Caenorhabditis elegans: one gene and its partner. The protein of the gene in region 2 purifies or fractionates together with the protein of the main gene of each other region. This does not show direct contact. Each region holds a gene or a part of one and is shown on either strand. Other genes may lie near its edges.

Evidence for each region.
Region 1: the proteins of capg-1 (region 2) and dpy-28 purify together in Caenorhabditis elegans (affinity purification with western blotting; one study listed by BioGRID). This does not show direct contact.

Annotation. Positions count from the first base shown.
Region 1 is NC_003281.10:10,761,000-10,766,139, reverse strand, and holds the start of dpy-28 (Condensin complex subunit 1), read right to left. Parts: upstream 3,010-5,140; 5' UTR 2,994-3,009; coding exon 2,866-2,993; intron 2,198-2,865; coding exon 1,980-2,197; intron 1,126-1,979; coding exon 851-1,125; intron 199-850; coding exon 1-198. Other genes in the region: tasp-1 (TASPase homolog), read right to left, coding at 3,334-3,538, 3,721-3,786, 4,454-4,677. UniProt on the Caenorhabditis elegans protein: Required for both chromosome condensation and segregation during mitosis and meiosis and X-chromosome dosage compensation depending on its binding partners.
Region 2 is NC_003279.8:7,633,959-7,641,828, reverse strand, and holds capg-1 (Condensin complex subunit capg-1), read left to right. Parts: upstream 1-2,043; 5' UTR 2,044-2,065; coding exon 2,066-2,313; intron 2,314-2,354; coding exon 2,355-2,457; intron 2,458-2,514; coding exon 2,515-2,721; intron 2,722-2,769; coding exon 2,770-2,940; intron 2,941-2,998; coding exon 2,999-3,101; intron 3,102-3,444; coding exon 3,445-3,669; intron 3,670-3,716; coding exon 3,717-4,137; intron 4,138-4,189; coding exon 4,190-4,339; intron 4,340-4,394; coding exon 4,395-4,821; intron 4,822-4,871; coding exon 4,872-5,467; intron 5,468-5,527; coding exon 5,528-5,708; intron 5,709-6,245; coding exon 6,246-6,416; intron 6,417-6,473; coding exon 6,474-6,834; intron 6,835-6,893; coding exon 6,894-6,991; 3' UTR 6,992-7,337; downstream 7,338-7,870. Other genes in the region: F26A3.1 (Lipid droplet-associated hydrolase), read left to right, coding at 62-212, 263-445, 614-849, 895-1,002, 1,050-1,233, 1,280-1,404.

The DNA of each region.
Region 1 (5,140 bases), on a different chromosome or scaffold from region 2:
ATAATGAGAAATCCATTGTTGACTGGAACGAGCCATATTCTCGGGATCTTCAAGCAATTGGACAACTGTGTCAAGGAAGCGAAGCAAAAAGTCCTTTTCCATGACATCCGGCGCAAAAACGTATTGAATCGCCTTTTTCTTGGTTCCGGCAACGGTGTCGACACGAAGTTCAAGTAATTCCAGCAGGCAGTTGATCATCTGAATTTTGAAAATTTTGCAAATAATATTTTTAAAATGGATTAACAAATCTGATTATATTATATTGATATTAAAATCCAAAAAAAAATCCTTTCAGCAGAAAAAACTATATGAAATTTTTTTTTAAATATTTATGGCATTAAATATAGAAATATTCAGAGTTTGGAGCTTTTTTCTAGAAACTAAATAATAATTTCAAAAACTCAATTTTTTAGATGGAAGAGCTCTTTTCTATACAGATTTCGGGGGGCTTTGACCAGAAAACACGAAATTTTATATATTTATATTTCCCAGATGCGATATTTTGCGAAATTTTCACTAAACGGGTCTTGGCACGACCGATTTTATAGTAAAAGGACGTGAGCCTTTAAGGATTACAGTAGTTGTTTTTTTTTTCGATTTTTTTCAAAATGAAATCGGAAAATCGAAAATTTGGGAGTTAAAAAAATCTGAGTTTTCTTTTTTTTTTAAGAAGAAAATTGATTTTTTTATTTATTTTACAAACTTTTTTTTTCGATTTTGGATTTTCTATTATCTCTGAAAAACCTAAAATTTCTCGAAGACACATGAATTTTTGCGTTTTTTTTTAATGTTTTTTCTTCTAAAAAATCTATAAATTTACAATTTATTTTTCCTGGAAAACTATAATTACCCGATGTCTCTGAATATCCTTCCACTTGACAATATCATCATCTAAATCAACTTGACGACCACCTCTTCCAGTACCACGTTTCGCCTGTTGATTGGCTGATGCTATCGATTTTGATACGTATAATTGAAGTTGAACAGTCAATCGTTGAGTAAGAATTACAAACATACTGACTGCATGCACCAATTCCACATCGACACTATGATCTTCTCCAGATTCATTTTTTTCGAAATAATCGGCCACGTAGTCGCTTACAGAGTCTTTTAGAGCTCCGGAACCTGCAAAATTTTGCGGGGTTTTGAAGTGGAAAATATATTATCTGCATTTGAAAATAATTATTATTTTTTTTTAATTCGACTTTGAACAACTAAAAACAGCGAAAAAAATTGTCTGAAAGTTGAAAATGACCGGAAAAAATCAGGCAAATCCGGCAGTTTTCAACTGTTTATCTTTGAAATTTTTAGACAATTGCCGCTTTTAAAGGTCCTATATTTTTTGAGAATTTTCTGATTTTTTTATTATTTTTTCCAACAAAAAAAACCGAAAAATAGTTTTTTGAAACAAAAATTTTCAATTCTTCTGTCGAAAAATTGAGAAAATTGTCTAAAACAATAAAAGTAATGTTTTCTATGAAAAATCAAAGTTTTTCAAAGATTTTCTCCGAAAAAAAACAATTTTTCAGCGAAAATTTTTGAATTTTTCGAAAATCGGAGGAAAAACAGGAGGAAATTTACTTTTTAAAAAAATTTCTAGAAGCTTTTTAAAAATTGAGGTATTTTTCAACTAAATATGCATGTACAAATTTCTAGGTTTTTCAATTTTCAATTTTTTTTCGAAATTTTTAAACATTTTACTTTTTTTTTGAAATTTTTTATTTTTTCCAACAAAAAAAAACCGAAAAATCTTTTTTTTCTAATCAAAATTTTTCAATTTTTTGGTCTGAGAAAAATTGAGAAAACTGTCGATTTTTCTGCTTTTTCAGGAAATTATCAATGAGTTTTGGGCACTTTTTTCCTCTTAAAATATAGCAAATTTGAACTTTTTCGTGGTTTTTTAAATTAAAAAAAATTCTCTTCAAAATCGGGTTTTAGAGCAATATTTTATACTTCCAAAATTCCACCAAAAAACGCACAAGAAACGAGATAATCGACGACTTTGAATCGATTTTCCCAATTCTCATAAGTAGAAGCTCGCCGTGAAAGTGAGCTCAACGATGGAAAGAACTTTGGAATTCCTCTCCAATCAGAAATATCCGAATATGAAGAGAAACTGTCGATATCCTTATCGATTTGTTCGGATGGAATATTATTGTCAGCTTCGGCGATGATTTCCGTGATACTTTTGAAGCCACTGAAAAAAAAAATTTGAAAATTTAGAGTTTTTGACAGGAAAAAAACAGCCTTTTTCTCGGTTTTTCAGGAGAAATTTGAAGAAATTTGTGATTTTTTTTTCATATTTTGTTTTAAAAAATTCCGATTTACTTCTGCATTTTCTGTGGAAATTTAAAAAAATTATTTTTGATTGAGGAAAAATGGAAAAAAAACTGATTTTTCGGTTTTTGAAATGAATTTCAAAAAAAAAAACGGAAAAATCCATGGTTTTTCTTTTTTTTCTAGAAAACGGTGCATATTTATTAAACTTCACAGGAAAAATTCTTTATTTTACTTTTTTTTCTAGAAAATTCCATAAAAGGTTCTGTAAAAAATTATATATTAGTTTTAAATGAAATTAAATGAAAATTATGGGTTTTTCAGTGAAGAAAGCATCGAAATTATTGCAATTTGCAGAGAAATTTCAGTAAAAATTGAGAAAAATATATCTAAATCTGGAGTTTAATTGAAATTTTTGAAATTTGATATTAAATTTTTTTTTTTGAAATTATCGGAAAAAATTAAGTTTTTTATCGAATTTTAAACTGATTTTTTTAGTTTTTTATGTGAAAATTGTGCACGAAATCTGATTTTTCTCACGAAAAAAAAAACTGAAAAATCTATAATTTTCCAACTGAAATTCTCAACCTCAATCCATCATTATTCCGTGTCGGCTGCTGCTGCTGTTGCTGGCTCGTCGAGCCAAAATCCATATCCTCATCTTCATCTGAAGTCGGTGGTGACGGTGTAGTGACAACGCGTTGTTTTCTCGGCATTTGTTAGGGGAAAAGCCTGTAGAAGGGGGAAATTAGTTTTTAAAAAATAATAACAAATCAGTGATATTTCTAAGCGAGCAAGTGAGCACTAGAATAAATTCAATAAAAGAAAAAACAATTAAAAGTTTAAAAATTAAAATATTTACAAAATTCTTCATTTCATTTTAATTTCAAATCATAAAATATTCTTCAGCGGAGGATTGAGAGAGAAATCGGATGGAGTGGGGGAGTTGTTTTGTATATTTCCGCATTCAAACCCCGGAAAATTCCGAAAAAAAAACACAATTTCCAGATTTTTCTAAGTTTTAAACGCGGAATTCTTGATATCATATACATATTATTACATGATGAATGACTCGATAACACATTTAGGATCAGTAGTACATTGATCCGGATCGAATTGTGATTCAAAAACACGAATCTGATTGTCTCGACAACGAACTGCAGCCGGAAGATATCGACAATTATGGAAAATCAGAAATTCCAGCGACATTCGATCTTTGAATTTGTCGGCGATCAATGCGATGCCACCGTATCGGGATCCACTGCAAAAAAAATCAATTTTTCGATTTTTCGAAAAATATATATATAAAGCTTTATTATGTTTTTTCATCAACAGATACAAAATTTTATGAAAAATTTCATTTTTTTCGAACTTTCGATGTTCAATTTTTCAATTATTTAAATATAAATATGCTGCTCTGAATGGAATAATAAATCTACTTACTGTTCCATTTTTTCGTGTATGAATTCTCGAATAATCTCACTGTACATGATACCCTCCTCGTCGTCTCTGAAAGAAACAAAATTGATGCGTTGTTGTTATGGTAACTAGGGTCTCGCAGCGATTTATCTCTTTTTTTTTAGTCGTAAAATCTTTTTTAATATTAAATTTTCTTTTTTTTACAATTTTTAAAGCTATTTGTAAGGGAAATAATTTAAAAATTGTTAATTTATCAATTGTTTGCCGATTTTAAGAGAAAAAAGTTTAGAAACAGTCAAAAATTACATTTTTGTGCTACATTTTCAAGAAAAACGGTAAAAAACTTGGATTTGCAGTTTGTTTCAGATCACAAATATATGAAAATCTCGAATTTTGAGCTATTTTTTGCAGAAAATAGATAGGAAATTGTGGATTTTTGTGCTAATTTTGAGAGAAAATTGCCTTTGTAAAATTGTAATCGCTAAAAACGTCCCAATTTATGCAATTTCTACAGAAAATGGTCCTGAACGCGCAAAATCCCCGAATTTTAAGCAACTTTTTTAAAAAGAAAACTGGTCAGAATTTCCAAAAATTATAGATTTTTGTGCTAATTGTTCGAAAAAAGATTCAAAAATCATCAAAATTGTGGATTTTCATGCTGATTTACATCTAAAACTGCTCAGTTTTAAGTTATTTCTACGGAAAATGATCCAGTGCGCGCAAAATCTCCAAATTTTCAATAATTTCCCAAACTTACAGCACTCTCGTGGCGATACCCCTGCAGAAATCGGCTTTCACAAGTGATTCACCGTGTCCTGTCGAACAAATCGAGATGGTTCGTTCACTGACTTGATCAAATGGTTCTTCGTATTGCCTTCGTTCAGACCATGTTCCACTTCCATATACACAGCTGTGACCAAGCCGTCCCGAGTGTTTTAGCACAATTCCACCGCTTGAAGTACCGGATTCTGAGTTCATTGTCTGCAAAAAAGACATTTTTCGTGGCGAAAATTGGAAAAATACGAAATTTTGATAGAATTCAGGGGGAAAAACTTTTGAAAATCGATTTTTTTTTTGCAAACCAAATTGGCATTTTACTGAAAAGTGGTAATTTTTTATTTGAAAACCGTTTTTTTTTTTCAGAGAAATTTAGACCCAAAACCGGCTAAAATAGAGGAAATTCGAGATTTTTATAGAATTTTGCCAAAATGGAGTTGACAATCTGGTTTTTTAAACTCGTATTTCGATCGAAATAGCTTTTATACGTGTGATTTGCCGGAGAAATGCTAATTTTCAATTTTAAAACCTGTTTGTTCCGGGAAAAATGAAAATTCCACAAGGAAACGTAGAATTTTGATAGAACTTTGGTGGAAAATAGATTTAAAAATGGGATTTTCCACCTTTTTTCTTCAGAAACTCACATTGAAACTGCTTTTTTTTCATA
Region 2 (7,870 bases):
CAACACAATATCATTCTTTCTAACCGCATTTTTCCAGTTTTTCTTATTTATTTACATATAGATGACCTCAATTCTTCGAAAAGTGGAATGGGTTCGAGTAGCAGGGAAATGGACGAAAATGTCCGTCATGGGGTTGGATATTTCAGACGAAACGCTGAAAATTCAGAAGAAAAAGGAGAACGAGAATCGAGTGATTATTTTAATGATTCCAGGTAAATCGGGAAATTGCGCTTTTAAAAATTTAAGAAAATTTTAATTTCAGGAAATCCCGGAAACGAAGGATTCTACGCTCATTTCGGACGAGAAGTTTTGCAAAATTTGATAAAGAAAGATGAAGATGAGCAGAAAAACTTGAAAAATCAATATTTATTCTACACAGTTTCAAGTCTCAATCATGTTCGAATGCCAGATCATTTGAAAGATGATGGAGAACATCGAAATCATGGTAATAAATACAAATAAAACGAAGAACCGTTCACTCCAGCCTTTTAACTTATTTAGTTTCGCCGATTTCGCAGTATTTTTCGCCCTTTTGTTTTTTTTTCAAATACCTAACGAGACTCATGGATCCGGTGCGGAGCGCGTTTTTACGTCGATTATAATATATTTCCAGACCGAATTTCTCTGGAGGAACAAGTCAATCACAAACTATCATTTGTGAAAGAGCACCTGCCACGTGGAAAGCAACTGTACATTTTGGGGCATAGCATTGGTTCGTATATGATGTTAAGAATCATTCCTGAAGTGATAAAAGAAGGATTCCACGTGGAAAAAGCTGTTGGACTGTTTCCAACGATAGTTCATATGGCAAACTCACCAAATGGGAAACGATTACATGGAACTTTAGCTGTAAATTCAATTTCTTTATTTTAATTTTTAATTGTAAACTTTCAGACATTGAACCATCATGATTGGCTCACAAAAACGATTTGCTGGTGGGTGGATTACCTGCCAAACTCGATCAAAAAATTTCTTGTTGGATTGAACCTGAGACATCCTAATGTAAATTTTTTTTTGAATGTCAAGCAACAAAAAACATAATTTTTCAGACTCCCCCAGAGATCGTCGATGCGGCAGTTGAGCTTGTCCATATGGATGTGTTCAGAAATATAGTTCACATGTCAAACGATGAACTTGATATCGTTTTAGACCTAGATGAGCGTCTTTTGGAAAAACAAGACGTGGTTCATTTCTATTATGGCCTCAAGGATGGATGGTGTCCAGTGCAGCATGGTATTGACCTTGAAAACGTTGTGTAGATTGAAAATAAAATTTATAGGATACTCCATGCGGGACAGACTTGGTGAGGAGCAGGTCACATTGGACGAAGACAATTGTGAACACGCTTTTGTTATTTCTGAAGGAGACATTATGGCGAGAAATGTTATAAAATATTTCGATTGATCAGTTGCTCCGAGTTTTCCGTACTTCAACCTGTGATTGCATTACCTAGAATTTTATCTTTTAATAAATATAAAAATATTTGCACATTTTATTGTTTTTCCTTTTCTATGTGTTTGTTTCTAACACCTGTTAATATTTCTTCAATTGATTAATTGATTTTATTTAAGTATTTAACAGGAGCTCTAGTTATTACTGCCAGGATTAAGTGGTGACGAAACAAACTTTATTGCTCTCTACTGAATTCTAGTCTACTTAGGCTTAGTAAACATTAAAAAACCCCTTTTCAATTCCGAAAGTTCCGTTTTTAAATAAAAAATAAATAAAACGGCGCGAAAGCATGTGCGCTCTAATGCAAATTTGAAATCGAAGAGAGCGAAACAGCAGATTGGCGTGCTCTAGTCGTTTCAGTCATTACCTCGTTCTTTTGTTTCTTTGGAAACTGTTTTATACACGAGTCTTTAAATGTTTAAAAAGATATTTTGTAATTTTCCATTTTTGGGACATATACAGATCATTTGTCGCCCCGGTATTTTCACTATCAGTGGAAATGCAGAGAATAACAAGATATTTTAACAATTCGACATGTGTTATTCTTTTTCTGAATGTCTATCTTTTTGTTAATTCATTTCAATTTTCAAATTTTCAGTAACCCACCCCTCTCATGCCACCGAAGAAGCGAATTCGCGGGCCGAAGTTGCCAGCACTTCGTGAGGAAAAATCAACTGGTACAGATGTGGCTTCAGATGAATCATTCAACGAAAGTGCTGATTTTTTGAATAATGAAGAATTAAACAATGATCAAAACGATGCGGAAAATACAGTTTTGAGCGAAGGTGTATCCACTCTTAGAATCAATGAAAACATGACAAAAGAGGATCGAGCTTGTATTTCTGCAGCACTTTTCATAAAGTAAGTATCAAAATGAAAAAAAAAACTAAAGTATTTTATAGAAAAAGAGTCGTAGAATCAATTCGAACAGTTTTTCAATCTCGTGATGATATTAATGATGAAATACATACCAGTTCGCGGAAACTGATTGCAGCATTTAAAAAGGTTAATTTATTTTAAAAATCGAAATAAAAATAATTTTAAAAATTATCCAATTTTCAGGCTGATCAGAATCGTAAGAAAAAGGTCGATTTAATGAAAGTTTTCCTTGATGAAATAGATGTCCGACTTTCAATGATTATCGAAGAGGTGACTGTTCCTGAGCATCGGGCTCGTGTCTTTAAATTAATCGCAGTGACAATAACTGAAATTCAAGCTTTCAAGCTTCCATCGGATCTCCTCGATTTTATTATCAATTTTATTAACACTGTGAGTATTCAATTTAATAAAAATCCGCATAATAAAACTTATTTTCAGTGGGGACATAGTGATAATGTTGCTGCGAGAATTAACACGACCTGCTTCATCAGTTATATATTCGAGACAGGGAAACGATATTTAACAACTGAGGGTGAATATTCTGGATTTGAAGTCAAGATTGCAGCTAAAATGTTTTTACAATTGAAGAGAGCACTGCTTGACAAGGAGGTTTGTTTCATTCAAAAGTTGATTCAATTCTGAAAAGCTGAAATTGAACTTTTTTCAGCAAACCGCCAGAGTTCCAGCTATTCGAGGCCTAGGATTCTTGCAAGAAATACCAATTCCATCGAATTGGCCAGTAGATGCTATGAAACATTCACCAAGAGAACGTAAGTTTTCAAACTTTTATAAAGGCGCACTAAATGAAGCAGCCGTAGAATTCAAAATTAAACTACCATATATTTTTTGGATCAAAGCACAAAAAAATTTATGGTAGTTTAATTTTGAATTTTGCGGCTGCTTCATTGTTTTTTCCTTGCATTTTACTGTTCAAAGTTGTTGAAAATCAGTTTTTTAATCCTTTTCACAGGAAAAACAAACATTTTAAATGAAAAATTCATACGTATTTTGAAACTTGGCCCATATAAAGAAATCCGTGCGCCTAGCATGCCAAGGTGTTGTGAAATTACTATACAATACCAGCGTTTGTTCTTTTTAAATTACAAATTTCAGTTCTTCTCCGTTCCTGTAGAGACACAGCATGGGAATGCCGACTTGTTGCAGTTCAATCAATGGTACCATTAGAAACAGATGTTAGACTACTTTCAGACATTGTCTATTATGACAAGTGTCTCAATGTTCGTGTCGCAGCACTTGAACAGTTTTCAAACCTCAGGCCAAACAAACATGTTCGCGAAAAAATTGAAATGCTTGATTTATGCCTGAAAGACCATGAAGGTTTGTTTGTAATTTATGACTAATGATATTAAATTGTAATTTTCCAGTAAATATTCGAGATGCGGCAAAGGAAGTTCTGAAGAATTGGGTTCGTAATTTGTCAACGAGATGGAGCGAAAGTCAAAAGAGCAAAGATTCCAATGATGTTGTCATTTTGAATTCTAATTCTGAATCCACAACAGGAGAAGAGAATAAAATGAAAGGATATATTCTTGCGGCCCAAGCACTTACATTGCTATGGCTAACGGGTGCTCTTGAAACATTGGAAGGTCACTCAAACTTGAGACGATTGATAACTCATACACTTGATGTTATTCGTCAAATGTACGTCTGTCAAGCGGATCCGATTAACACATTCGCAGAGGTTTTAATTAGCGATTTGAGAGAAAAAATGAAGTCAAGTGCGGTGCCGATTATTACTAAAAGTACTGTTGGATCAATTTTAGATGACAGCGAGCTTGCTGATACGTGAGTTTCTTGCTGGATTCATGGTTTTTTGCAGCAAGATTATCATTTTCAGACAAGATCCAAGCACCAATCGAGCCATGATCTTCTTTTGGAGATGTCTTGTTGATTATATTTCCGATAGAAAACGGAATGATGCTGATAAGATAAACGCCATGTCACGTTTCGTCAGTCCATTGCGCACTATGGTAGAGCATGTGGAAAAGTATGATTTTCTTACTATTTGTTTTATAAGAGTAACAATTAATTTTATTTTTCAGAATTCTCGTTCGAGTCAAGAATCTGGATGTTTATCCGAACATTAGCCAAAGAGCAGACTACGAGGATCACACTTTCGTTCTGCAAATGTCAATTGTTGAGAATATAATATGTGTGATGAGACATGCACCAACAGATCAACCTGGAGTTGATGCATACAAGCAAATGTTAATTTCAATGTTGATGAATGTGTTCTATCAGAAAAAAGTGATTGATCTCATCGTTCAAGAACTCGCACAATTTTACAAAGAAGATCCGAATGCACTGTTCACATTGTTTAATGATAGAATTGAAGAAATGAGATCGAAATATAAAAGTGGACAGTTTCCAGTTATTGAAAATAGTGTACCCGTTGGAGAGACAAAGGTTCGAAAAGATTTAGAAGAGGAAACACGCAAAACCGGCCGACGAACAATTTCAGACAAAGATGTAAGATTTTATATAGATTATTTAATTTTCAAAATTTGAAAATGTTTCAGGGAATCGCAGTTATTGATCTCTACGAGTTGAAAGTATTGAATGCTTTATTGAAAACTGGAATTTTACTTGGATGGAGTACAACCTATCAGAATAGATACAACAACAAGCTTCGCGAGGGTATTTCATCGAAAGATTTGAGTACTCGTGTTCTCTGTACTGAATGTATTGGTATTGGTGCAATCTATGATTATGATCAAGCAGAAAATACTCTTCGTGAAATGATGAAGAGCTTTAACACCCAAGATGAACCAGTTCAGTGTTCATTAATTGCTGCGCTCACTGATATTCAAATTGAGCATGGCGATCAAGTTGACGCTCTGTTCAGCTGGAATTCAAAGCAACCCAATTTTGCAGTATTTCTATCGGATATTGTTGTCAATGCACATGTTTCAGGAGAATGTGAAACCATGTTAAGAGCAGTTGAAGCAATTTCAAGACTCTTCTTGAATACAAAAATTGACCCGAATCAACAAAAATGGCAACGTACAATGGTTACACTTATGACTCGAGCTTCATACGCGATCACTAATCGCTTCTCCGCTAAAGTTCGCAGTACGATCATTGTGATGCTCAAATTCTTCTGCTCTATCAACAAGTAAGCTTGGCTTCTCATTTCCTGGGAAACTGATGAAAAAAATTAAAAAGTTATTTTCAGAAACAATCAACTTCTTCTCATTAAATCATTCCACAATTTCTTCGATATGTGGGCCAACTCTACGACACCCGAACGGTTGACTGAAAATCGCCATGAAATGGTTACAAAGCTTAAAAGATGTGCAGCCACTTTTGTTGCATTGACTCGTCATTCCACGCTTCCATTGGAAGAACAGAAGAAGGTATGCCGATCAGAGTTGAATCCGATAATTTATTTTTAGTGCGAAAAATAAGCGAAAATCTCGCAAGTCTAAAACTTTTTTGTTGAAAATTGAAAGGATTGTGCACAAAAAAATTTCGAATATTTTTCCTCCTGCCTTTTTTCAAAGTTTTAAGTTTTAAACAGTTTTTTTGGAGCAAAAATATATTTTCTAATCCAGAAAATACATTTTTTAAAGAAAACAATTTAAAAAAAAAACGACATCACTGTGCGCCGCGTCCAAAACACCAAAAAATCCCGAAATTTTTTCCGTCAGTTTTCAGTGCAATTTTCAAAAAAAAAATCAAATTTGGGGATTTTTTTGCGTTTTGGACACGGAATCACAATTCCTAGTGCCATTTTTCGAAAAAAAAGGTGTAAACTTTTACAATTGTATGAGGTTTTTAGTTAACGACAGGTTAACGACAAAAAATCGATTTTAAAAAACTCGAAAAAAACGAAAACCTAAAAATTTTCAGTTGTGCTACCGATAAATAGTTATGAATGATTTAATTTTCAGTGTAAACCAACACACGTCGACCTTGTGGATGACATATTTCACGAAATGGCTGGAGCTCCTGATTCAACATCTGTCGATTATTATATTTGTGCTCTTAACTTCGTGGAATATCAGAGTCTCAGTAGATCAGCTCTCACAAAAATTCATGGAGATTTAGAATCGTATATATTTGTAAGTATATACCAAATAATTATAAATTATTCTAATTTGAAAACATTCAATTTTTAGCTCCACGAATTAGACGGTGACAAGCATCGATACAACGAACTTCGAAAGGCTCATAGAAAGATAGCGAAAATTCTCGGATTGAACGAAGATGAAATTGAAGAAGTGCCAAGCAAAACTGACTTAAGAAAAGAAGCAGCGCCGTCCAAAACCAACAAAAGAAATGCGAACTTGATCAGCACGGATATCGCAGTTGATAATGATGTGAATATGGAAGAAGATGATAAGCCTGGCCCATCAAGACCCGCTACTGTTAGAAAACCGAGAGCTCCACGAGCAACTCCAGCGTCTGCCACGAAAAAGAAACCTTTAGTTGAAGAGGATGCGTTGGAGATTTTGAAAAGTCCACCCAGAAATACTAAAAGTGAGTTTGAACAGATCGCTTCAGTATTTGGTTTTTCATAACGGACTGAATATTTTCAGAACCACCATCCCGTCCAACTACAGCTACCCGTCCAACTGCAGTTGCAGCTCGCACAGCACCTCCAAGAAGTGCACGTAAACTGAGAAGTGAAAAATGAGAAATTAATAATTTAAATTGACTTGTGCTTTTCGATCTCGTTATTTATTACCACTTACATTTTAACCTTTTTTTCCTCGAACACGTTTCCCAATTTTTATGAATTTAAATAACTTTACCTTTTCCGCCATATTTCTTAATTCTCTAATTTCATTTCCTAGAAATTATTTATTCGACTATACAAACCACCCAACAATAATGCAAAATTCTCCACTTGGTCTCTTCATATTCATCATCATTATTACCCTACATGCAACTAAGGCATTCGATGTAAAGTTTTCTTTTGTAATTCGTTAACTTCCACAGAAAATTCTTAATTCTATCAAATAAATTCGTAGATTTCAATCGAACACCCTTCTGGACATGGCACTTACTATCGATTCTTGTTCATTTACGCATCAATCTCGGGGCTGATGATGGTTGTTTTAGTAATTTCGGCGATTATCTCGATGTGCAGAAGATACAAATTGGTGGCTAGTCAAGAGGATGAGGTAAAACATTAAAAATTGATTTTTTCCAGATATAAATATATTTACAGATTTCGGAGCTCCAGTGATGAGCATGTAAATTTAACTTTCTACTGAAAACTCTTAATTTTTCGAATAAATATCAATACGTTAAAAAATGAATTTTCGCTGCGAGACCCGTTGTGACAAACTGGTGCACCTTTAATACCTGTTTCAAGTACAATCGGAAAGTTTATAATAATTTATTATTATTTATGATTCTAATAGAAATTTTGGTGAAAATATGAAAAAAAAAGTGAGAAGCTTACACGTGTGATCAATACCACGCGGGGATCGGGGATGGAGGGGAAAAGATATGGAAATTTCTAGTGAAAATAATATCTAAATGGGCACAAAATTGAGTTACAGGGAGC